Caenorhabditis elegans: one gene and its partners. The protein of the gene in region 1 interacts with the protein of each later gene in a pairwise test. Each region holds a gene or a part of one and is shown in the gene's direction. Other genes may lie near its edges.

Evidence for each region.
Region 2: the proteins of set-10 (region 1) and sta-1 interact in a two-hybrid assay, tested with the Caenorhabditis elegans proteins (one large-scale study listed by BioGRID).
Region 3: the proteins of set-10 (region 1) and lim-7 interact in a two-hybrid assay, tested with the Caenorhabditis elegans proteins (one large-scale study listed by BioGRID).
Region 4: the proteins of set-10 (region 1) and ZK546.5 interact in a two-hybrid assay, tested with the Caenorhabditis elegans proteins (one large-scale study listed by BioGRID).

Annotation. Positions count from the first base shown.
Region 1 is NC_003279.8:15,027,181-15,032,611, reverse strand, and holds set-10 (MYND-type domain-containing protein), read left to right. Parts: upstream 1-1,903; 5' UTR 1,904-1,968; intron 1,969-2,034; 5' UTR 2,035-2,061; coding exon 2,062-2,253; intron 2,254-2,408; coding exon 2,409-2,550; intron 2,551-2,606; coding exon 2,607-2,687; intron 2,688-2,983; coding exon 2,984-3,207; intron 3,208-3,490; coding exon 3,491-3,712; intron 3,713-4,147; coding exon 4,148-4,392; intron 4,393-4,653; coding exon 4,654-4,840; 3' UTR 4,841-4,895; downstream 4,896-5,431. Other genes in the region: F33H2.8 (TPT domain-containing protein), read left to right, coding at 242-336, 409-502, 592-742, 786-910, 1,126-1,248, 1,300-1,404; F33H2.2 (Protein FAM91A1), read right to left, coding at 4,930-5,128.
Region 2 is NC_003282.8:16,662,580-16,670,364, forward strand, and holds the start of sta-1 (Signal transducer and activator of transcription 1), read left to right. Parts: upstream 1-1,740; 5' UTR 1,741-1,742; coding exon 1,743-2,051; intron 2,052-2,147; exon of another isoform or gene 2,148-2,168; intron 2,169-2,423; exon of another isoform or gene 2,424-2,444; intron 2,445-2,527; exon of another isoform or gene 2,528-2,548; intron 2,549-2,630; exon of another isoform or gene 2,631-2,647; coding exon 2,648-2,992; intron 2,993-3,005; exon of another isoform or gene 3,006-3,026; intron 3,027-3,188; exon of another isoform or gene 3,189-3,209; intron 3,210-3,384; coding exon 3,385-3,512; intron 3,513-3,635; exon of another isoform or gene 3,636-3,656; intron 3,657-3,676; coding exon 3,677-3,914; intron 3,915-3,942; exon of another isoform or gene 3,943-3,963; intron 3,964-4,082; exon of another isoform or gene 4,083-4,103; intron 4,104-4,289; coding exon 4,290-4,936; coding exon of another isoform or gene 4,937-4,973; intron 4,974-5,083; exon of another isoform or gene 5,084-5,104; intron 5,105-5,149; exon of another isoform or gene 5,150-5,170; intron 5,171-5,351; exon of another isoform or gene 5,352-5,372; intron 5,373-5,409; exon of another isoform or gene 5,410-5,430; intron 5,431-5,625; exon of another isoform or gene 5,626-5,647; intron 5,648-5,835; and 14 more. UniProt on the Caenorhabditis elegans protein: Carries out a dual function: signal transduction and activation of transcription. Activated STAT proteins play a role in repression of dauer formation.
Region 3 is NC_003279.8:5,715,001-5,719,599, forward strand, and holds the start of lim-7 (LIM/homeobox protein lim-7), read left to right. Parts: upstream 1-1,573; 5' UTR 1,574-1,675; coding exon 1,676-1,811; intron 1,812-3,524; coding exon 3,525-3,572; intron 3,573-3,618; coding exon 3,619-3,683; intron 3,684-4,372; exon of another isoform or gene 4,373-4,522; intron 4,523-4,599. UniProt on the Caenorhabditis elegans protein: Probable DNA-binding transcriptional activator.
Region 4 is NC_003280.10:4,934,204-4,938,485, forward strand, and holds ZK546.5 (C2H2-type domain-containing protein), read left to right. Parts: upstream 1-1,614; coding exon 1,615-1,696; intron 1,697-1,747; coding exon 1,748-1,824; intron 1,825-1,883; coding exon 1,884-2,084; intron 2,085-2,138; coding exon 2,139-2,232; intron 2,233-2,286; coding exon 2,287-2,618; intron 2,619-2,667; coding exon 2,668-2,960; intron 2,961-3,011; coding exon 3,012-3,546; intron 3,547-3,594; coding exon 3,595-3,726; 3' UTR 3,727-3,771; downstream 3,772-4,282. Other genes in the region: gst-30 (glutathione transferase), read right to left, coding at 1-242, 681-813; ZK546.4 (Energy transducer TonB), read left to right, coding at 3,853-3,966, 4,014-4,282.

The DNA of each region.
Region 1 (5,431 bases):
TAAAGCTCCTAATCCGAAATTGTGACATCGGATTTTGGCACAAACAAGACTTTTCTGCTACCGTACTCGTAGGTATTGTGTCAATATCTTCCGTTTTCGGTAAGTTTAGTGTTTTTTGTGTAGAAGAAAACTACAAGACACATATGATAGTTCACCGTGCGGAAAATGTAGCTTCAAAAATTCATTTGTGCCAAGTTCAAAAACATGCAAAAAAAAAAGTGCCACGTGGAAATCTTTTCAGATACTTCTCCCGGCAGCCGGTGCCAAACTACTCGAGGTTCTGATTGCCTCTCTTGCTAACTCACACAACAGAACCGGAGAGCTGTTTCTTGTCAGGTACGATTCGCTCAAGAATAGTATTTAACCTCTGGGATGTGAAAACTCTATAATGGTTGTTTTCATTTTCAGAAGTTTCGATTTCCTATTTGCCGGATGCATTCTCTTCTACTACTCGACGCGTCAAAATGGGAAGGGCTTGACTAAAACGGACTGTTGGATGATTGTAAGATGGCCTAAAATGTAGAAAAATCGGTCGTGGGTGTTTGGGAGTGGCTGAGTTTTCTTCTGCGGCGTAATGCTAGTTTATTGCAGGCTCCCCTTGCGATCGCAGTGTCAATAGCCTGGCTTGAACCTGGACAAATGGAATATACGGGAGTTTCTTTGATGTCCGCATTTCTGCTCCCAATTTCAAGAGCCCTCTCGTTCATTTTACTAAAAAACTCGATGGATTGTTTAGGAAAAGGTTTAAAAATATTTTTCTCTTTATCAAACTAAGAGTTTTCTAGGTCATATCAATGCTTTTATGCTGGAATACACTCGATTTGTTACTATTCTACTCTTCCTACCGGCTCTTGTTTCGTATTTATTGAGCAGTGTGGAGGTCACTGCAAGCTGGGAGTCTATCGATTATGTGAGTTCTGGGTGAAAGAGATTGTGAGGGAATTGCTAAATATCAAACCAGCATATGACACAATTAAACTTGTAATATTATAACTGTTCGGTAGTTACATTTCTGAAAGTTATGTTTGGACATCGAAAAGATAATCTTTTCGAAAGATTGCTTTTTGTCAGTGAACTATCTTTTATACAATAGAAATACATACAACATTTTTTGGTTGTTTCCAGGTGCTTATGTCTCTCTCCTTCATATTCATGATCTGCAATCTCTACAGTCATCTCTGGCTTACCTTATCCCTATCACCTAGTGTCTACTTGGTTTTAGAAAACTCCAGAAACCTATTGGCATCGGTAGTTATTTTGATTAAAATCCGAATTTTGTATGAATTTTGATTTTTACAGTGTGCTCAATGGATTATTCAAAATATGGCTCACCCGAGCCTAATTGCATTTGGCGGCAAAATTGTCGGGTTTGCAGCAATTTTCAGAATCTGGACAAGATCTTAATTAAATTGTTTTTGTTTTCGAAAAAGAGACCTGTTTGTCTAATAAGATGCGTTTCTCAAAAAAAAAAGTTCACCACAAGCACAATTGGGCTATTTTCAATTGAGACAATAAATTGGGGAAAAAAGCAACAAATTTAGGTCTGCTACGAATCAAAAGCTTGTCACGTAGAAATAATTTTAAATGTTCCAACCAGTTTTATTCTAAACACATCACCAGGTCTGGGTAATCATTTCAATGTAAAAATGCAAGTACGCTCTACCGAATCGATATTATTATACTCTTCTTGTAAACGCTAGAATATGTGCAAGGACAAATGATGGTATTTATTGACTAGAAATATCGCCTGGAGATATCTCATTTGAATAATTTTCTATTATCGATTTCTTTTCACACTTTTTTACTAAAATTTAGAGAAGTAAAGATTAGGAAACTACCACGTAGCTTTACTATATTGAAAAATTGCCATGTCATTTACATTTCAAGGACTTCATTGCAGATTCAAACACAAACTTGGGAATTGTCACCTGGCGACCCACTCCGAATTTCAATTTCAAACTATTCTCTGTAAATATTTGTTTTTCTCAAGATCTAATTCTACCGTAACCTACACTTACAGTAATCCATTTTCAGCTTAAACCTCTATTTCTCTCTCAAAAAATGTACACAGTTGCTCGTGAACAACCGCTTGCCGCTGTGCTCTCTCCACAATTCTCGGAATTGTACTGTGCCACGTGTTTTCTGGAAATCGACAGCTCACAAGAAACGGAAATTCTGACATGCGACGATTGTTTAGCGGTATCATATTGTACATTGAAATGTCAACGAAAAGATTGGAAAAGTTGTCATCAGGTACTGTTTGGGTGATACTTTGAAAAAAAACATTAAAATTGGAAAAAAAAATCCCTTGGGAAAATTTAGAAGAAATTTTCAAAAATCCACTTGGCAAAATTTCAAATAATTTAAGAAATTATAAAAATCCGATGCATATTTCCAATGTTTTGCAGTTCGAATGTGAAATCCTGCGTTGCCAAGGCTCCTCAACTCCAATGACACTGACCATGAAGCTATGCATCAGAGTCTTATTGGCATCTCGTTCCACACAGACGCCAAGTTTCAATGGGGCTGTTTTAGAAGATTTGGAGACAAGTAAGATATATTACCTGAAATAGGACTGATCTTGACACACATACCGATATTTTCAGATTACAAAGAATTTCGATCAAGTCCAGAGCATAATCAATTTTTATCAGATGTTTTAACGATTATCAGCAGTTCAGGGCAGAGTGAGTTGAAAAGTTTTAGTTATTTTTGTTTCACTGTAGTTTTTAGAGGAGCATATTAGTTTGCGTGGTCCCAATTTAAATACTTTCAGTAATAAAATTCACGACCACGTAAAAACTTTGCACCTTTTCTCTTGCAAATAGTTCGATTTTTGAGCCAAACTACTGACTTTGGGTTCTGACGCGAAGGAACAAGTTTTTCCAGCTATCGTAACCAAAAGTAGAGTGATGTAGCTGTAGCTAAAATAAGTCGTTTTTGGTAGAACCCTTTTTTTTTTAATTTTTGCCACTTTTTTCAGACATTTTCCCAACATCTTTGGAGACAAACAAAACTATCGGAATAATCTGTAGTGTTTTGTGCAATTCGTTCAGCATTATCAATGAGAAACGTGTTGAGCCGATTGGAAGTGGCCTATATGTGGGCGTTGCCAAGCATAATCATTCGTGTGCTTCCACGTCACATGTTGTCTTTGAAGGAAATCAAGTTTTTCTGAGAACCAATCAAGAGGAATATTCAAAGGAGGTTATGATTTTTATTGATGTATCTTTTCCAAATGGGATTTCAAAATCAAAAAGCAATTGCTCGGAACTTTTATCACCCCAGATTGAAATTTCCGGGTGAATTGCACCAATCAGGCCTGCCGGTGTTTCGGTTCTTTTTACAAACCTAAAACGACAAATTTTATTTTTTCGGTTTTTAGATTTTTCTGTTTTACTAAAAAAAACCAAAAATTGACAACAAAATGTTTGGCGGCACCCATGCAAAAAATTATTTCAACGGCATTACTAAACGCAATACTCTGCAGCTGACAATATCGTACGTTTCCCGAATGCTTCCAACATCCGAACGTCGGAAAACAATCCGCGGAGTCCATTTTCTGACGTGTCAGTGTGAAATGTGCAAAAATGAAGAACTGGATCTAATCGGGTTAAGCTCAAAATGTCGAACAAAAAATTGCACGGGATTTGTGAAGGGATCTGGAAACTGTTCAGTTTGTGAGAAATTAGCGTTTTTGCCCTTTGAACAGGTTAGTTATTAGGATCGACTGTCGATTAAACGTTTTTGGTTAACTGCCGAAAAGTTTTGGAAAATTGCCAAAAAGCCTTTGACAACCTGCCAAAAAGTTTTGGAAACATGCCAAAAAGTTTTGGAAAACTGTAAAAAAGTTTTGGTAAATTGCCAAAAAGCCTTTGACAACCTGCCAAAAAGTTGTGGAAACCTGCCAAAAGTTTTGGTAAGTTGCCAAAAGTTTTGGTAAATTGCCAAAAAGTTTTGGAAACCTGCCAAAAGATTTGGTAAGTTGCGAAAATGTTTTCGTTAGTTGCCAAAAGTTTTGGTAAATGGCAAAAAAATTTCGAAAACGACAAAAAGTTTTGGTAAAATCCCAAAAACTTTTGGGTACCAGTTATGGTAAATTGAGTACTCCTTTTTTTTGAAAAACATGAATTTTTTCAAATTGCAGAGCATCCATTCAACATTAAATCTTTTGGATATTATTGAAAATCTCCATAAAACAAATCAATTCACAACAGTACAAGAATTGGCTTACCTTCAAAAACTACGTGCTGACTATCAAGACATCCTGGCGGAATGCAACGTGGCAATTTTGCAACTCGACGAGCAGATTGCTTATTGTAGCAGTTCACTGGAAAATGTGAATGACTTGGATTTGGACTTGATCGCTGGAAGAGGCAGTGAGCATTTTATGTAAGTTTATCTTAATATCCTAGCTCAGTTGATGTAGAAAAAGTATACGTAAATAACATTTAAGACGAATCTGATTCTAGTTTTCTGAAGAATTTTTTTTTCTAAAATCATGAAAATACGAACATTTTCCACAAAATTGAAACATTTTATTTCTGGAAAAAACCGAAATATTGAAAGATCTAATTTTTGAGTTTCTAGAAAATTTATAATTTCCGGAAACGGGAATAGATGAATTTAAAGCATTACTTAATATATTTTCAGAACTCGTCTTGGGATCGGCGCTCCAGAAGTGACCCGTCGTTTGTATATTGGATGTAAATGTATATCTCGTATTTCACCATCGAAAAGATCTGTAAAATTAGTAAAACTAATCAAACTTGCCATCGAATCAAGCATTATTAGCCATGGAACACATCATTCAATCACTAATTATTTGAGAAATCTTTGATAATGTTCTTGTAAAATCACATTTATTTTTAATCCTCTGATAAATAGTTTAATTTAATTAACATAAGCATACAATATATATATCACAATTCAAATAGTTCCATAAGAAATCAGCTGACTAGAATCAAAGAAAATGGCTCGAACGGGCGGCACGATTTGTGCGTTCCGCTGTTGATCGGTTCCTTCGACAAACAATTGTGATCCTTTGATGAGCCCGTTGTTCGCTGTGTCAATTAACTCGTTTATCATTCCAACCACTTGTTTGTTCGAGTTTTGGATGTTCGAGCGGCTGGAAATAAAACTAATTTACGAAAAAAATTAGGGCACGCACATTTTATTTTAAGTTCTCTAAAATATCTTGCCACGTGGACGGCTATAAAAAGTTTTGCACATGAACTTCCAGGTTCTTTAAGTGGTTTTTTGTATTACGAATATCGTATATTCTTTATCAGTGCTGCATACAGTGGAATTTATTGGATGCAGATGCCGCACTAATAGAAAATATACGGTAAATTCCCAATGCTCTGGTAAAACAAGTCCGTTTTGTTGCCGGAGAAAGTGTCACGTAATCGAAAATAGTTATTTTGTTGTT
Region 2 (7,785 bases), on another chromosome or scaffold:
TTGCTGTGCCTTTTGTGTTATTTCAATTAAAAATTGCCATTGATACTTGACTTATCTGAAACAAGATACATTTTTTCTAAAAATTTGAACTTGTAAGTCTTATAAGCTCTATTAATTACCTAGTTTGAACAAAAAACGAAACTTCAGCTCACTAACTAGTGAAATCGAACTTCGAAGTAATGTTTGACAATTTTTGCTTTCCGACAATAGCAGCATTAAACTTGAAAAAAATTTAAATATTGAGAAACATTATTCGATTCATATGTAAGCAATCTGAAACAATATATATGTTTTCTAAAATATTATACTACCTTCATTTTCAACACTGTATTACCCCATTTTATACATTCAGACAATATCAGTAATCTGAAACAGTATTGTTTTCTTCTCAAGTTTGAAATCTTTAAGGTTCCATATAGAAATAGCCCCAGTATAATTTTTTTTTCAATTTCTTTTTCCCGGTATATTCAGATTACTTGTCAGATTGTTATAAAATTTCCAGACTCTAAGCCAATTTTAAAACACGCAAAATTATTTCAGCTTGGCCGAAAAAAAATTAAAAAAAACTAAATTTTCGGTTTCAACACCACATTTTATAATCCTCAAAATGCTAGAACAGTAGTGAGAAATAATAATAGAACTTCATACACTCAGAATAAAAAACTGGAATAAATCTAGCAACGTATAAATAAAATGTTGGTATTTTTAAAGACAACTTGAAACAGTGGAAAAATGTTAAAATTTTCCAAAATTTCCGTCAAATCGTCGTTCACCCAAAATTTGAAAATTTTCCAGATTTTTCAAATTGTTTTCCAATAAAAAATATTTGAATAAAAACCACAAAAACATACATACTTTCGAACATTTTTAGAACATTTGAACAGTAATTTGTCGCGTCGAGACCCGATACAGTAATTTTCGCGCAAAATTTCACGGTTGGGTAATACAAGTAGAACCTTAAATGTTCATGTTCAGCTCATTTTATAATAACTTGAAAAAACCACTACTGTTTCAAAATTAATTTGAACGATTTTTTTTTTGAAAAAAAAAACATATTTTTCTCTAATCCCTCAATAATATCTCCATTTTTTTCCGTCCCCCCAATCATCACAGATATCAGCTGAGACAGGGGAAAAGTGGTGTGAAAACACACAAGTCTCTGCGTCTAGCGGTGTGTAACACTGTCTGCGTCTCTGTGCTCTCTTTGATACTCTCTCCCGTGTGTGTGTGTGCTCCTGGAGCTCTTATACATTTCCAAGTGTTTCTGCTCTCTGCATCTCTTGCCCATTTTCCGCTTTTTTGAGCCAACAACTTCTCATTAGTTTTTTCCTTCGAGTTCTTGTGCAGAGCCACGGCTCTTTCAACAACTCGCACAAATTGAAAGTTTTCGCAATTTTTTCTTGCATTGCACGTACATATTTTCTTTTTTTTTTTCATAATTATTGATGAAAATGAATATGTTTTGTCAAGCGAATATGCTACATTGAAAGTTTTCAGAAACAGTGAAAAATCAAATTGAAATTAACAAAATCTTTCAAAATTTAATCACTTATTTGAAACAGTAAAAAATTTTTTAAAGTATACGTCGATTCTGAAAATACACTGAAAATGAAATAAAATTCTTGAAACTGTAAAAAAATTTTTAACCAATTTTTTTTCACAAATTTTTCTTTGAAAACGTTTCCTTTTTATTACCTCCTTGTCTTCCCATTCCCTTCATTAAAAATCTGAAATTTCCAGACATGATGGGCTCATCGTCGCAAGAGCTTCAAACAGCTCTAACCGACGTCTCAAAGACCTGCCATCACTTGTGGGAAGAGAATAAGGACCTCCAAGGCAGATTTGTGAATGAACTCGGCGAGCTTCAACGTCTGCAAATGGTCATTGCACAGCTGGAACAGCAACAGAGACTAGAAAATGTATTCACTGTGAAACAGCAAATGACAGAGTTACAGAAAAGAGCAGCCACACTTTATGAGCATTTGACACAGAAAAGAAATGATATTGTCATTAAACTTAATGATGGCACCAATTTTGCGACGATGCTACAGGTTGGTTCTTCTAATGTGAAAAAATATGAAAAAAACATAAAAAAAATTTTACTGTTTCAAAGTTTTGTGAAATATGAATTAAAATTTTTTACTTTACTTGACTGTCGAAGACCATTTCCATTAAAAAACTCTAATACAAGATTTACTTTTTTGAAAAATCCTTCAAATTTTGAAGAATTTTGCATGTTCAGTAAATTCATGCTAAAAATATTTTTATTCTTTTAATGTTTCAAGTGAATGTTTTGTTTAAAAAAAGCATTAAGAAATCTTTTAATATGAAATTACATCAAAAATGAACTGAAATACAAAAATTAATTAAAAATTTAATGTTTCCCATGCATTTCATATATTGAACGCGCGAAAATGTCATACTTTAAAACTGGCCTGCAATCTAGCTCTCTTATCTGAAAAAAAGTTAGTTATAATATTTACAGTTTCACACTTTTATCAAATTTAATCTTTTTTTTCCTTTTACATTGATTTTGCATAAAATTTGACAATTTTTTTTAAAGAGAAATATTTTTAAAAAAATACTGTTTCACAGTTTAATCAAATTTTCTATGCGTTGCAATATTTTAATCAATCTTCATTTCCAGACCCAACTAATTGGCGAAAAGCTGTTCTCCTGGAAAAATGCCCAAAAACTTGCCCAAATCGGAATGCCTTTCGATAATCGCGAACAGCTGCTTGATGAAATTCAAATTGAATTCGAATTTCTCGCTGATCAAAACTGGCAGCTTAACATGTTCTCGTGTTGGATGCTCGACTTGCTCCGACGTGCTCCACAGTTAAATGATGGGCTCGCTCAGGCAACAATTGGAAAGTTGACTGCAATTACAGAACAATTGAACAAATTACTTTTTATGCTGGTTTCACAGAGTTTTATTGTTTCCGTTCAACCGGAACCTGTTTTGAAGACTCAACATAAATTTGTCACTGAGGTTTGTTTTTTAATGGAAATTATACATGTCAAATTTTGGTGGGTCCCGCCGCGAAAACCACACCGTCGTGACGAGACCCAACTTAGTTAGAATTCAAGCAAATTATAAGAAACAATAAAAAAAAATTCAAAAATTTTAATTAAAACTTTACCGTTTCAAAAGTCATTCAAATAAATATGTAAGTCATACTCAACAATTTTATTTAAGAAGTTCAATTCGAATATAATGTGTGCCACGCATTTGTTCAGCTTGAAAATTTCTGGGTCCCACCACAAAAACTACAGTTCCACCCCACCTAATTTTACGGGTTACTGTAGTTTCCGCTGTGGGACGCAGCAATTTCAGAATCCTGATTTTTCAATAAAATTACAAAAAAAAACTAAAATTTCCAGGTCCGTCTTCTCATTGGCGATAAGCTGGGAATTCGTCAACACCTGGTGAACACAAATGTTTCAGTGAAAATTATAGCAGAAGATGAAGCCAAGCAGTTGAGTGTTGACTATGATGCACATAAGGAAATGTGAGTTTTTTTTAATGAAAAATTTGAAACAGTAAATTTTTGAAAAATTGAGAAAATTTTTTTTTCTAAAACTTATACTTTTTCGTATTATTTTTATATACTTTTCTTATTTTTTGTGGTTAATTTGTAGTTGTATCACTATATTCAACACTAATATTTTTCAGCCGTAACAACAAGACAGTTGGCACAATTTCCAATGATTTCGAGAAGCTCACAATGAATGAAAGAGGACACTTGGCGGCAAAATTCAATAATTCAAAATTGACAAGAATTGCACACAGAAAACCGCCCCCAAAAGGAGCATCTGACTTGAAATGTGCAGCAAGTATGCAGGCAGCTACTGATCAGAAATATGCTCTTTTATTCTTTATTACACCTTTTCAAATGGGTAATTTGAGCAAAGTAAGTTGTTGATATTTCAATTATGACTTGATTTTTTTTGAACGTAGTCAGTAACTCAAACTCAAATGCAAAATCTTTTAAAAACAACGTGAAACAGCAAAACATTTATTTTTTATTTTTTCACTGTTTCAACAAAAAGTTTAAAATTTATTTCAAAATTTGAGTCTGATAAACGAACAATGGTTGAACCAAACATTTCCAACATTTCTTTCGGTTTTCACTTTGAATTACTGAAATTTTCTAACTGGATTAGTAAAAGCAGTAATTCTATATTCAAAAAAGTGTAAAGAAACTTGAGAATTTTCACTGTTTCAGCTACTCTTAATTTTCAAAATTTAATATGTCCTCCAATTTCTATCAATTAAAATTTAACAGGAAGAACAATTCGACGTTTGGACACTTTCTCTTCCAATAATGGTTACAGTACACGGATCTCAAGACTGTGACGCGCAAGTTGCAATTCTCTGGCACCGCGCATTCGCCTCAATCAGCAGAAATCCAAATACAACTGATGTGACAGCTGTGACATGGGACAATCTAGCAATAATGCTTCGAAACAAGTTCTCCTTATTCACGGGAGCACGTCGTCCACTTTCAGATTCAGATTTGGCATATTTAAGTGAGAAAATGTTAATGCCAAATGTGGCAGATCAGAAGCCAATCACATTTCATCGATTCGCAAAACAGGCAATGAGAGATGACTTACCATTCTCATTTTGGGAATGGTTTTTCTCAATAATGCAATTAATCAAACAAAAACTGCTCAAATTCTGGGATGAGGGATGGTGCATTGGATTTATTTCAAAAAATGATGCGTCTCAAAGTATGATGATGTGTCAGCACTCTTCATTTTTATTGAGATTCTCTGACAGTCAAACTGGTGCTGTATCGATTGGTTTTGTTTGTGAAGAGGCTGATGGACAAAAGATTCCATTTCATTTGGCACCTTTTACTATTAAGGATTTGGATCAATTGTCACTGGCAAGTCGTATTGCTTCATGTCCACAATTGAAGGATATTCGGTTAGTTTTAGACGCGAAAAGTTTACCATGTTGTTAAGTATGCTTAGTTACGGTCAAAAATGGAAATGTTTAAAAAAAATTGGAAAAATGAAAAAAATTATACTGTTTCACTAAATATTTTATGTGGTTAAGAAATTGGACAAAAAATAAAAAGTTCAAAAATACTACTTTTTCATTGAAGAATCATAAATAGCCTCAATTGCAATAGTTTGATATTTCTGTAACCACGAAAGTGAATTGAATTTTCACGCGATTACTGGGACGTAAGTATCGTACCTGCCTACGTACCTGCCTACCGCCTATTTTCTGCGCCCTGGCGGGAAATTATGTGATCTATGTTCTCACCGTCCAAAAAAAAAAAAACTTCAACTGTTTCACTTAAGAATTATATAAGTTGTTCCTTCTTTTTTTAATGTTAAGAAAATACTCCTTCATCTTTTCTAATTATTATAATTTGATTAAACTCTTTTCAATCAGTGATCAATTTAAACAAAAAATGTTAAAATTAAAGTCAGAAGTGCCAAATAAAAAAAAAGGGTAAATAAAAGTTAATTTTAGGAGTGAAAACTTAACAAGATGTTAAGTTTGTTCAGTTACAGTAAAAAATAAGTGTGAAGAAAATTGAAAAAATGAAAAAAAATTATACTGTTTCACTAAATACTTTTATCATTTGGTTTGAAGTTATTGCATTCTTATTGCATTCTCTTTCATAACAACAATTTTCGGGTCTTACCACGTTTTGAAACCTTTGAATTTCAAAATTTTGCTATGAAAACTGGCACATTTAAACAAAACAAATATTTTTTATGTGGTTAAGAAATTGGAAAAATTTGAGAAAAAGTTCAAATTTTCTACTGTTTCATTGAATAATCATAAATAGCTTCAATTGCAATCGTTTGATATTTCTAATCTTTGTGAATCACCCTGAAAAATATATATAAATAATGTTCACATTTTTCACATTCACATCAGTACTAAGAAATACACCTTCTTGCCTTGTGCTTACCTACCTACCACCTATTTTCTGCGGCCCGGCTGGAAATTATGTGATTTATGATTTCACCGTTCAGGCTGAAGCACTTTTGATAATATTTCTGAACGTGGATATAAATTATGTCAGCAGTTATTTTGAACAAAATTAACAAAAATTTGAAAAAAAACTTCAACTGTTTCACTTAAGAATTATAAAAGTTGTCCCTTCTTTTGTTAATGTTGCAATTCCGAAATACTTATTACAACAAATGCATCATTATAATTTGATCTAAATCTTTTGAAACTGTGATCATTTTACAAAAATATTCAAATGAAAGTTAAAATTGCCAATTTAAATAAAATACAGGAATTTAAAAAAATTTTTTTTTTTTCTATTGTTTCACTAAATAATTTTATATGGTTTTTTTCATTGAACGATATTGAAAATGGCATCAATTGTATAATTGTTAAATACACTTTTCTCCGTACTTTTTAGGTCTCATCACCATCTCGATACTGTGATTTTTAATAATTTATTATAAGAACTGTCAGCACAGCAGTTTTGAACAAAAAGTTTCATTTCCAAATATTTCATTTTTCTACTGTTTCATTGAATAATTATTAAAAACATCAGTCCCATTTTTCTGATATATTTTTTAAAAATATTTTTTGGATCCAATTAGTAAACATCATGAAAGTACATGAAATGTTAACATGAACACTTTCTATAACTGGACACCTCCTGCCTGCCTACCTACTTGCCTACCGCCTATTTTCCGTTTTTACTCCAACTGTAATTTTTTGAATTTTCTCGTTATAGGCAAAAGTGGGTTACAAATGACACTTTTTAAAATTGGATAATAACGGTGTGAAAATAGAATGAATGCAGAAACATGCGCTCGTGAATAATAACTAACTGAAACTGGGTGGAATTTTTACTAAAATAAAATCCGGAAATTGTGAAAACTGCACGGAGTAACTCAAAAAACTAATCGTTTTTATAAAAATTCTAAGGCAAAAAAGTTAGCCTGTCTGCCTACGGTGTAATTCTTCAAGAAAGTCAAATTTTGAAATTAGTGAATTAAAAAAAAATTATGCTGTTTCAGGTTGTTGATAAATTATCGGTTAATTTCTAACATCAGTAAACATCTCACATCTGGTCGAAAGTTTGAAAATATTAGATACAATCGATGTAAGGGCTGCTATGTTGGGCCGAAAATTACTGTTTGACTATAGGCAAGCTACGCCTGACGTGTGCCTTCTACCAGGGGAAGAATGTGTTTCATTTCTTTGCCATTAAATTAATTGAAATAATAACACTTACATTTAAATTTTCGGCTTAGTTGAAACAATGGTAGGCAGCAATGTAGGCAGAACGACTTGCCTACCTACAGCTTCAACAAGGCCTTAGCGCCTACTTAGAAAGCCTGATGAATTTAAAGCAATTTATTTTGGAAAAATGCCAAAGCATGTTTCAAGTTGTTCATTTTTCAAAGTCTAATATTCAAAAATATTAGTGAATCACTCAGTTTTTTTTTGAAAAAAAAACAAGGTCTCGCAACGGTTTATAATTCTTATTTTACTTTGAAAAATAACCGCCAGCCTATTAAAAATACGAATTAAAAAAAAACGCAAAATGAAAATATTTTTCTGTTTCACTGAAAAGAGATAAGATCATGGCTTAGAATTCGGACAATGCCTCTTCAAAAAATGACAAAAAATGTTTCAAATTGTCTATTTGTAAATCATGTTTCTGAAAAATTTAAATTTTTCCAGAAGTCGCAGATTTTAGAGTCGAGACCCAATTTTTAAGGTTTGACAAAACATTGACTTGAGCTGTAATCTCTCAAAATACATTGTAGACATGTAAAATGTGA
Region 3 (4,599 bases), 9.3 Mb from region 1:
TATTTCGGTCTTTCTATTTCTTCGTGTTTTGGAAAAATATTTTTTTAAATGGAATACGATAAACTATGAAATATAACTTGTAAAGTTTGTTTTCTCTTACACCACAATAGTTGAAAAATGGCTGTAAATTTTTCACATTTCTCCCCGGTTCTAAAAATTTTCCAATATTCTGGATTAATCCAGCATCCATTTAATCATCTTATCTTTCAAATCCTTATCAATCGATGGAATCTACAGTATCCTCGAATACTTGTCCGTTATCACCTTCTCTCGCATGCATGTTCATCTTTTCATTCGTTATTTCACACCTTTTGAGGTATACAGGAAGTGGGGGAATCAGTTAAAACATACATATGTCCACGTGTCGGCTAATTTAAGAGTGCAACTCTATAGAAACTGCAAATTCACTTTTCGTACAATTTTTTTGACTAAAAGAATGAAGAGTTTGCAATACTAACGAAGAAGTGCAATACTATTAGGGACGCAAGACTAATTGGGACTTCAAGTCTATATTTCAATCGATATGAACTCTAAGAGAGACTCAAAAATAAAATAAAATAAAACATATTTCTAGTTTCTAGATAGTTTTCAATAAGGAAAATATGGCGTCCACCAGCCAAAGGAAGAATGAGGGTCAGGTTGAATCCGGATAAGAAGATATTTCCAGGGATAATCTTGTTGAATTCTCATGTTTTCTGATTTCAATTTTTTTTCTCAATTTTTTAAAATATTCATCAATGAACATAATACTTTAAACCTCTGAGAGAACCAGTCAGTTTCTGATTTAAATATCAGAAAAATGATTGTGTTAAAGATCGAAGCAAACATACCACATTTTTTCAGTATTGCAGCCATTTTTTGGAAAAGTTACATGAATAATTTATAGACTCTGAAGATGTTCTACACTTTGTGAGTTTATTGTCTTAAACTGTAGTACGCGGAGATATTAGTATGGAAGCTAAAGGAAACTAGAAAAACATTTGAAAATGTACGAGAAAATTTGACTAAAATATAGGATGGATTTTGAACTCTAAAATCTAGGGTTATGAAATTTAAACGTCCTAAGCGATTTGTAATTTAATTTTGAAACTTTAATTGTGAAACTAAAGTGAGGTCAAATTTCTCACATTACTTTCCTTAATTCTTAATTTTTTCAGGAGCAGACAATTTTGTTCAAAAATTTCGAAATTTTCTAAATGTTTAAATATAATTTTTTGCTCATTACTTCAATCTTGATGAGTAATTTCATAGAATATATTTTGCCAGTAACATTTAACTGTCTCAAAAATTTTTTTGGCATTTGAAATGTCATTTTTTAAACTTTTTCATGATCCAAATAGTTCACACAAAACTGCTTTAATCCAATTAATTACAAATAAAAGAAATATAGGTTACCATATCCACAAAATCAGGATGTTCACACTCTTATTCTATCACTTGGGTGTTCACATCCGGCTGGTTTTCTTCTCACTTCTTTCGTTCTCCTCACTTAGTAGGTGGAGTCTACCAACCAGTCGCTCGTCGTCCGCCCGCTCAATGACTCCGCCCACTTTCTTGTCTCTCCGTGGGTCCCAGGGCTCTCGGTTCTCTTTTCGTTTGTGACACTTCCAACTGTCCTATCTGTGTTTGTGTGTATCTAGTAATCAATCACAAACTTCTATATCTGTTCAACGGCATGAACATCTGTATGCGAAATGGTTATGAGCAATTCTCACTGACATCTCCAGGAACATCGGATCTCGAAATTGGTGGATCATTTTGGAAAGACGAACCGGATACCAAGTACTTGTGCCTTGATTCTCCTGTTGAACGTGAGTGTTTTTTTTTTAATTTGAAAATGTTAAGCGTGGGCCAAAATATTTCAAAGAATTTACATCCGGAAAAAATTTTTTTGTAAATTTTCTGAAAATCACAGCTTAAAAAATTCAAAACAAAAGTTAAGTTAGATTCATAAAATTTCCATTTGAAAAGACATCTAACAGATCTAAGAATACAACACCTTCTCTCAAACTCCACTTAATCTTGAAAAATAAATCTTAAAATGTCAAAATCCCTGCAATAACAAAATCGAAAGAAGGAGAGGGAGAAAATCTGGAAAAAAAGATTATTCGCACTTCTAAGCCTTAAATATCCGTCTATTTTCCCCTGAATTTTGCAACTTTTTTATCTGAAGCTCTGGTGCTCTTCCGATTCTTTTCCCATACTACTTATAGGGATGAGCCAATGAATAAATGAGCAAAGTTCCGAAAGGTGTCTGAACTTAATGGGCTCACTTCCAAAAAATTTTGAAGTCATATAACATTACTAAATTTCTTGGTAGAAAAAACCCATTTGAGCTACACATTTTTCCATGACACCTTGCTTATTCACCAGTTTGGCAAACAAAAGAATCGGGGGGTCTCACACAAAAATATATTTTGTTGATTAAACGATATGATGGGGGTGGGGAACAAATGGGAGGCTCCATCAAAAAGCTCTTAGTTCAATCAAGTTCTGAAAGTTTAAAAGAAAACAAAAATCGCTATTTCTTTCATTCCATTTGTCCCCCTCCTCTTTTACTTTTTTCTTTTCCACCTTCTTCTTGTTGTCTTAAAAACGCATAACTTCATCTGGTCCTTCGATGAAGATCTAAGCTATAATCGCCTTATGCACATCACATGTACATATCCGGTTTGAAGATTTCAACAACCCAACCAGATTTTCTCGATTTTCTTGGCCTCGAAAACTTAACCTAGAAAGTTTTCAAATAAATATATGATATTAATAAAAATTAACTTTTCACAGTTTTGTATTCCGAAAGTTTTTAAAACCTAATTTTCTTCAAAAAAAGTTTTTCTCTAGGTCAATTTTCAATTCTAATTTCAAATCGCAACACTCTCCTCCCAAATAAGTAGTTATTTGCCGCCGCTCCGATTATGATTACTGTAGTGGTGGGGTGTTTATAATTGCTTATATTAAGTAAACTTTCCTTCTTTTTTTGGGATTGTTACTTCTTGTTTGTCAACGGCCAGTTTACTTCCTAAAATAAGATGTCAAATGTTGAACAAGGGGATTATCAATAGTTTGAAATGACTACCTTTAGTTGTTATAGTTTTAAAATTAGAACATTTTAATATGTTATTTTTTAAACAGTAGGAAGCTGTCGACTTTAAATTCTTCCGAATAAAAACGGAGCTCAATAAAATTAATGACGTGGCAAAACAGTGCTGACAGAAGAGGGCAAAAATAAAATAAAAAACGTTTTGGCAGCTACTAACATCCCCAAACACCCCACAAATGAGCTATTTTATGAGTTTTGTTAGGCTCTCCCTGCCTTTCTTCACTTTTTTCTTGAAGCCATGAACCCCTTCATGACACCTAACTGGGTATCATTATCCATTTGTGCGCGTGGCCCTCCCCTCTTTCTATTACTTTTCCCTAAATAAAGCTTGAGCTCCCCTCCTCTCACAAACCCTGTAATCTTCAAATCAAAGTCGACGGGTAATTTGGGTTAGAGTAAAGTTAATCGAGCTTTCATTTTTCAGAACGTCAGCACCAACCACCGATGGCAGTTTGTGCCGGCTGTCGATTGGGTAAGCTCTTTCGGGGACTAAATTCCAAAAAATTATTTATTTTCAGAAATATCAGATCGGTACTTCCTCAGGGTCAATCCCAATCTGGAATTTCACGCTCAATGTCTAAAAGTGAGTTTTTGAACATTTTTATAACTGAAAAATGGTTTATAAGTATCTCGTCTCACTTTGAAGGATTTTATCTCAGTTTGTTTTGAATATATCAAAAATAATAAAAATACACAACCTTTTCGATAGAACAAACAACAACCGAGATACTAATTGAGTGCAGTGTAGTCTCATGGTTTTTTTTCTAAACAACAATTTCGAAAATTACACGGGGGTGGATTTTCACAAGAAAACCTAATTCATTCCAAATGATCTCATTCAAAAATGTATTGCACAATGAGCCCCTCCAACTGTCTTAATACCTTAAAGCTACAAAAGTCCAGTAAAGAGAGAATTTACACGCATGACTTGACACATTGTTTGTTCTTTTATTCAACATTTTGATGTATGTTTCTATATGTATGTAGGATTTCCATTTTGCATATTATTCAGAATTCCAACCTTTTCCCCTTTTCTCTTTTCTGCTCCTTTTGAATTATTCACCAATTTGATACCTTTATTCCGGGTCATTGTACTTTTTGCTCTTGCCCCACGACTTTTAAGCAAAGGACAAAAAGTGAATATTATACAAAAAAGGGAAGGGGGAGGAGAAAGGGCAATGATGATGAAATGAAATGAGACAAAGACGGAAAAAAAGAAAAGAAAAAAATCAAAACGTGTTGACCAGGAAGCATAAAAAGGGGGAGAAGCACGGAAGAGACGGATCAAATTACTGCGCAAATTCGCGCATTTTGTTGATTTTTTGAGTGTGAAGATTGGTGTATACAACTCACTGGGACAGAGGGACCCTTGCGTGACCAGTCAAGGTGGCAACCATCTGTCGTGTTGGAATAGGCGATGAATACCTAAACAGTAGTAGAATAGATCACGCTATTCAGTTAACTATTTACCTGTTTACCGCATAGTAACCCAGTTGTGG
Region 4 (4,282 bases), on another chromosome or scaffold:
GAATGTGTCCTTGTAAAGAGCATCGGCATCTCCTTGTGCAAATCCCATTTTCACGAGATTATAAGATCGGATGTCATTGAGATAATCTTTGAATTGATCTGCAATTGCATTCACTTGAGCTTCTTCCCATGGACATCTTCCATTTATTCCAAATTGGCGAGCAAGAAAACGAGAAATTGCATGGGATTGTCCAAGTGGTTTCCCATCCTGATAAAGGACAGGAAGAGTTCCGAACGGCATAGCTGGAAATATAGAAAATTCAATACAACATTTTTAGACATAAAAAAATTAAATTAGAAAAACCTGTACACAAATATCCCGCCAGCCTCGCAATTAAAAGTGATCGTATTTGTTATTCTATTACATGGAAGATACTTTAACATATATCTCGATTTTGGAACTATACATATTTCATTTCAAAGAGCACCTTCTAAATAGGTCCCTACAAAAAAGTTAGATTTATACGGGAACTTTGAACCAAAAAAGGTAGTTCTGAGATTGCTTTCAGGTCAGTTTTTGTGAACAAAAATCAATGATTTATAATAAGACCCAGAATATTGGTGTCAGGTCTAATCAAGATTTTATCAAGTGGATCTCGCCACGCCCACAGCGGTTAGAGCGGCACAACATTTTAATCACGAATAAATAGTATTTTGAAAAAAAAAGTTTCAAAAACTCACTCGACTTGAGAGCTGGCCAATCAGCCTGTGGAATCCGGTGATCCTCAAACTTTTGCCCGGCATATGCCAGAATCTGTCGTGGAATTTCTCCAGCAAATCGAATTGGAAAATATGAAAGTTTATAGTGGACCATAGTGTGTTTGGAGTCGAATGATGAAAGACCAATTCAAACATTCTCTTTTATACTGTCTCCTTCATTCAATTTGTTTGTCATTCTCATCGTGTTTTTTTTTCGAAGTAAGGCGGCATTAAAAATGTACGAGAAAGGTTGCCAAAATGATGACAATTGCTTGGAATTGGGAGAAAATCGAGGAAACTAGAGACGCGTCTTGCCACATTTATCATCCTTGCTAATATTAAGGTGTGATTCTGTTGGTCTTACGTGATTTGAGAATGCTCTTTTTTATAGTCAGCATATTTGAGACACTAGTGTAATAATGAAGAATTGAGAACAGTTCATATCTAACAAAATGACTATTACAATGTAAACTTTAATTAATAAAAAAAATTAATTTAAATTTCCGTTCTTCACTAATTACCTGGCAATTTACGAAAAAATACGGTACCCGGTCTCGAAACGACCAACTAGATTTAAAGGAGTACTGTAGATCTCGCAATTGTCTTGGATTTGTTGTTATTTTCATAATTTACATCAAAATTGGAATTCAGAGCTGAAGACATGAAGAGTACGTACAGTTTTGCTTACCGAACAAAAAATATACGATTATTTTTAATACTTTTTGGTCCAATTTACTCGTCTAGTGGCCCTTCCCACAAAGTCGACTCCAACGCTGCGTCTCCGTTCTCTCGCTTGCATCCAATGGAGCGCACTTACATTAAATTTTATTTATTGAATTTTTATCGGTTTTGCCATGTATTTTTTAGTTTTAATTCCTCTAACTTTCTACAATTTAGTAAACTTTTTTGTTTTTAGATGGCTGCAATTATAGGTGGAGGACCACGAAAACCGCCAAGAATCATACGAAAAAATGTAGCGCTTAAACATACGCGGAAAGGTATAAAAATATTGTTTTTAGTCGCAGAAGTCATAATTCAAATCATTATAGATGTTCGAGACGACGAAGGTGAAAAAGTTAAACGAGAAGGATATGAAGTACAATCAGGAGTATTGACTGTAAATGAGGTAGATTTGTTATTTAATTTAAGTATTAAATTATTGTAGGAAAAATTATTAATATTCAGAATCACCCATCCAACTTCAAACCGAAGAAATTGCCAGGAATCGCTAACGATGTCGAATCTTATCCATGCCGATTTTGTGAGGAGAAAATTTTTTTGACTGCATCAGGACTTGAAAAGCATGGAAGAGAGTGTCACCTGCAGAATTTAGACGATATCATGCTAGATATTAATACAATTTGTGGAGAATGGAAGAAAAGAGAGGTATTTTAAATTTAGAAAATTGTAACTTTTTTTAAAACAAAATAAAGATTTCAGTTCGAACGGCTCCGATCTCGCGATCGACTAACAATGGATAAAATGAGACACGAAGCAAGAGCACATCAACTTGTAAAAGCTGTTCTTGCTGGAAGTAAGTAAAATTAGAAAAAAATAAATAAATATATAATAAAATGTACATTTTAAGATCAGCCGACTGTAGGAGGAGAACAATATGAAGCTTGTACAATCTGTAATATGCTCGTCAACATAGCACATCCAACAGCCATGGAATCTCATCAAAGAGCACACAAAAAGAATGACGAGCTTCGATTACAGCTTATTGATCGATTAGGAGCTCACGAGGTTCAGAATCTGACGTGTGAATTATGCTCATTAGTATTTCCTGATGATGGGAAGCTAAGAGCCCACGTTACATCGCATCACACCCGACGAAAAAAATATATTTGCAAGTTCTGCGGTCATATCTCTCACAGTATGTCAGAGTTGAATCTCCATAAAAACGATGTTCATAATTATGTAAGTTAGATTTAAATTCAACATTTTCGATTAATTTTTTCATTTTCAGACAGCATGGGCAAATGTACCAGAATACCTGAAATCACGTCGAACATTTTACCAATATGATGAAGAACAAAAACGATTGCGGCGACGAACAAATTTTGAAATGGCTGATGAAATGTCAATTCGACTGCCAATTCTTGGAGAGATTTCTGATGGAGACACTGCCGGACGAGTTACATGTCCAGAATGCGGACTAAAGTTGAATCGACCTCGTCTTTTGTTCAAGCACATGGAACGAGTTCATATGAAATCTTCGTTTTCTTGTATGGTTGAGACAGGAGGTCTCCCTACCTTTGAGTAATTATTTGTTTTAAACAAGAAAAATATCTAGAAAAAATATTTTTGCAGATTAGAAGTATCAAATGGTGAGATCTTTTGGACGTGCTGTGATTCTAAATTCGACAATCGTCCGGAGTTCATCGAACATCGACGTCTTCATATTCCAACTCAACATGAAGAAGTCGTTGTTGAAAGCTCCGAAGATCCGAATGATATTCCATCTACATCCCAAGCAATGATTCCAGATGAGGATGCAAATGAAGCAGCAGAACAACACAACTTCCCACAAATGATTCATGATGAGCATGGAAATATTCAAGTTCTCTTACCAGAAGGATATGATCTCAGAGAAACTTATTATATTTACGATGAGAATGGAACGAAAATTCAATTGGTCCCATTACAACAACCAGATGGAACTATCGATCATCATCACCTCGTTCCTCAATTTGAAATAAATCATGAAGGCGAGGAGCAGATAATTGAAGAGGGCGATGAGATGATGGCATTGGAAAATGCTGAAATTGAAGGAGAAGTTGCTGAAAATGAATATGATCAGTTTCAAATGGATCTAGGAAATGACTGGGATAATATGGGTAATGTGGTGAGTGGAATTTTGAAAATTGTTTTTTATAAAATTCGTAAATTTCAGCAAATGATCTTAGTGAACGAAGATGATACTCTAGAAGAAGAACATGTCGAAGATGTGGATCATCAAATAATCGAAAATGTCGAAGGCGATGAAGGGGTGATTGAAATCAACGGGCAACCACTTTTTGATTAGTCTTAAATATAAATAATTTTTTTTTCGAATAAAAATAAATTAAATTCAGTTTTTCACGTACATCCAACAATAATAAGTCAGGAAAAACCAAATATTTCAATTATTTCACAATTTAATCAAATCGAAATGTCGCGAGCAATCACACCAGCAGTTCCGAGGAGAAGTTTTCGAAAAGAAGCGATTGTGACAGTTGCTGCTGTTGGAATTGCGATTGTTGTTTGGAATTTCAGAGATAAAATTGTAAGAATACTAGGAGGATTTAACATCGAATTTCCGTTTTGTTTCAGTCTGATTTTTGGAATTATTTGGCTTTTTCGCGTCCCACAAACTCGGCTCCAACTTCGGAACGCGAGAAAATCGATCCATCCAAGACTGCTCCTGAATCATGGGATGCTCAAAAGTCTGCTGACATTGCTCCCGAGTCTGTAAAGGTTCCAGCGTCAGATGAGAAGCATGAACAGCCAACTGAGCAACAACCAAAGGAGATTGTCGGAAACCTTGCACCGGAATCCACCGAAAAGAATGCACCCAGCTCATCCGTCTATGTTGGTCTTCC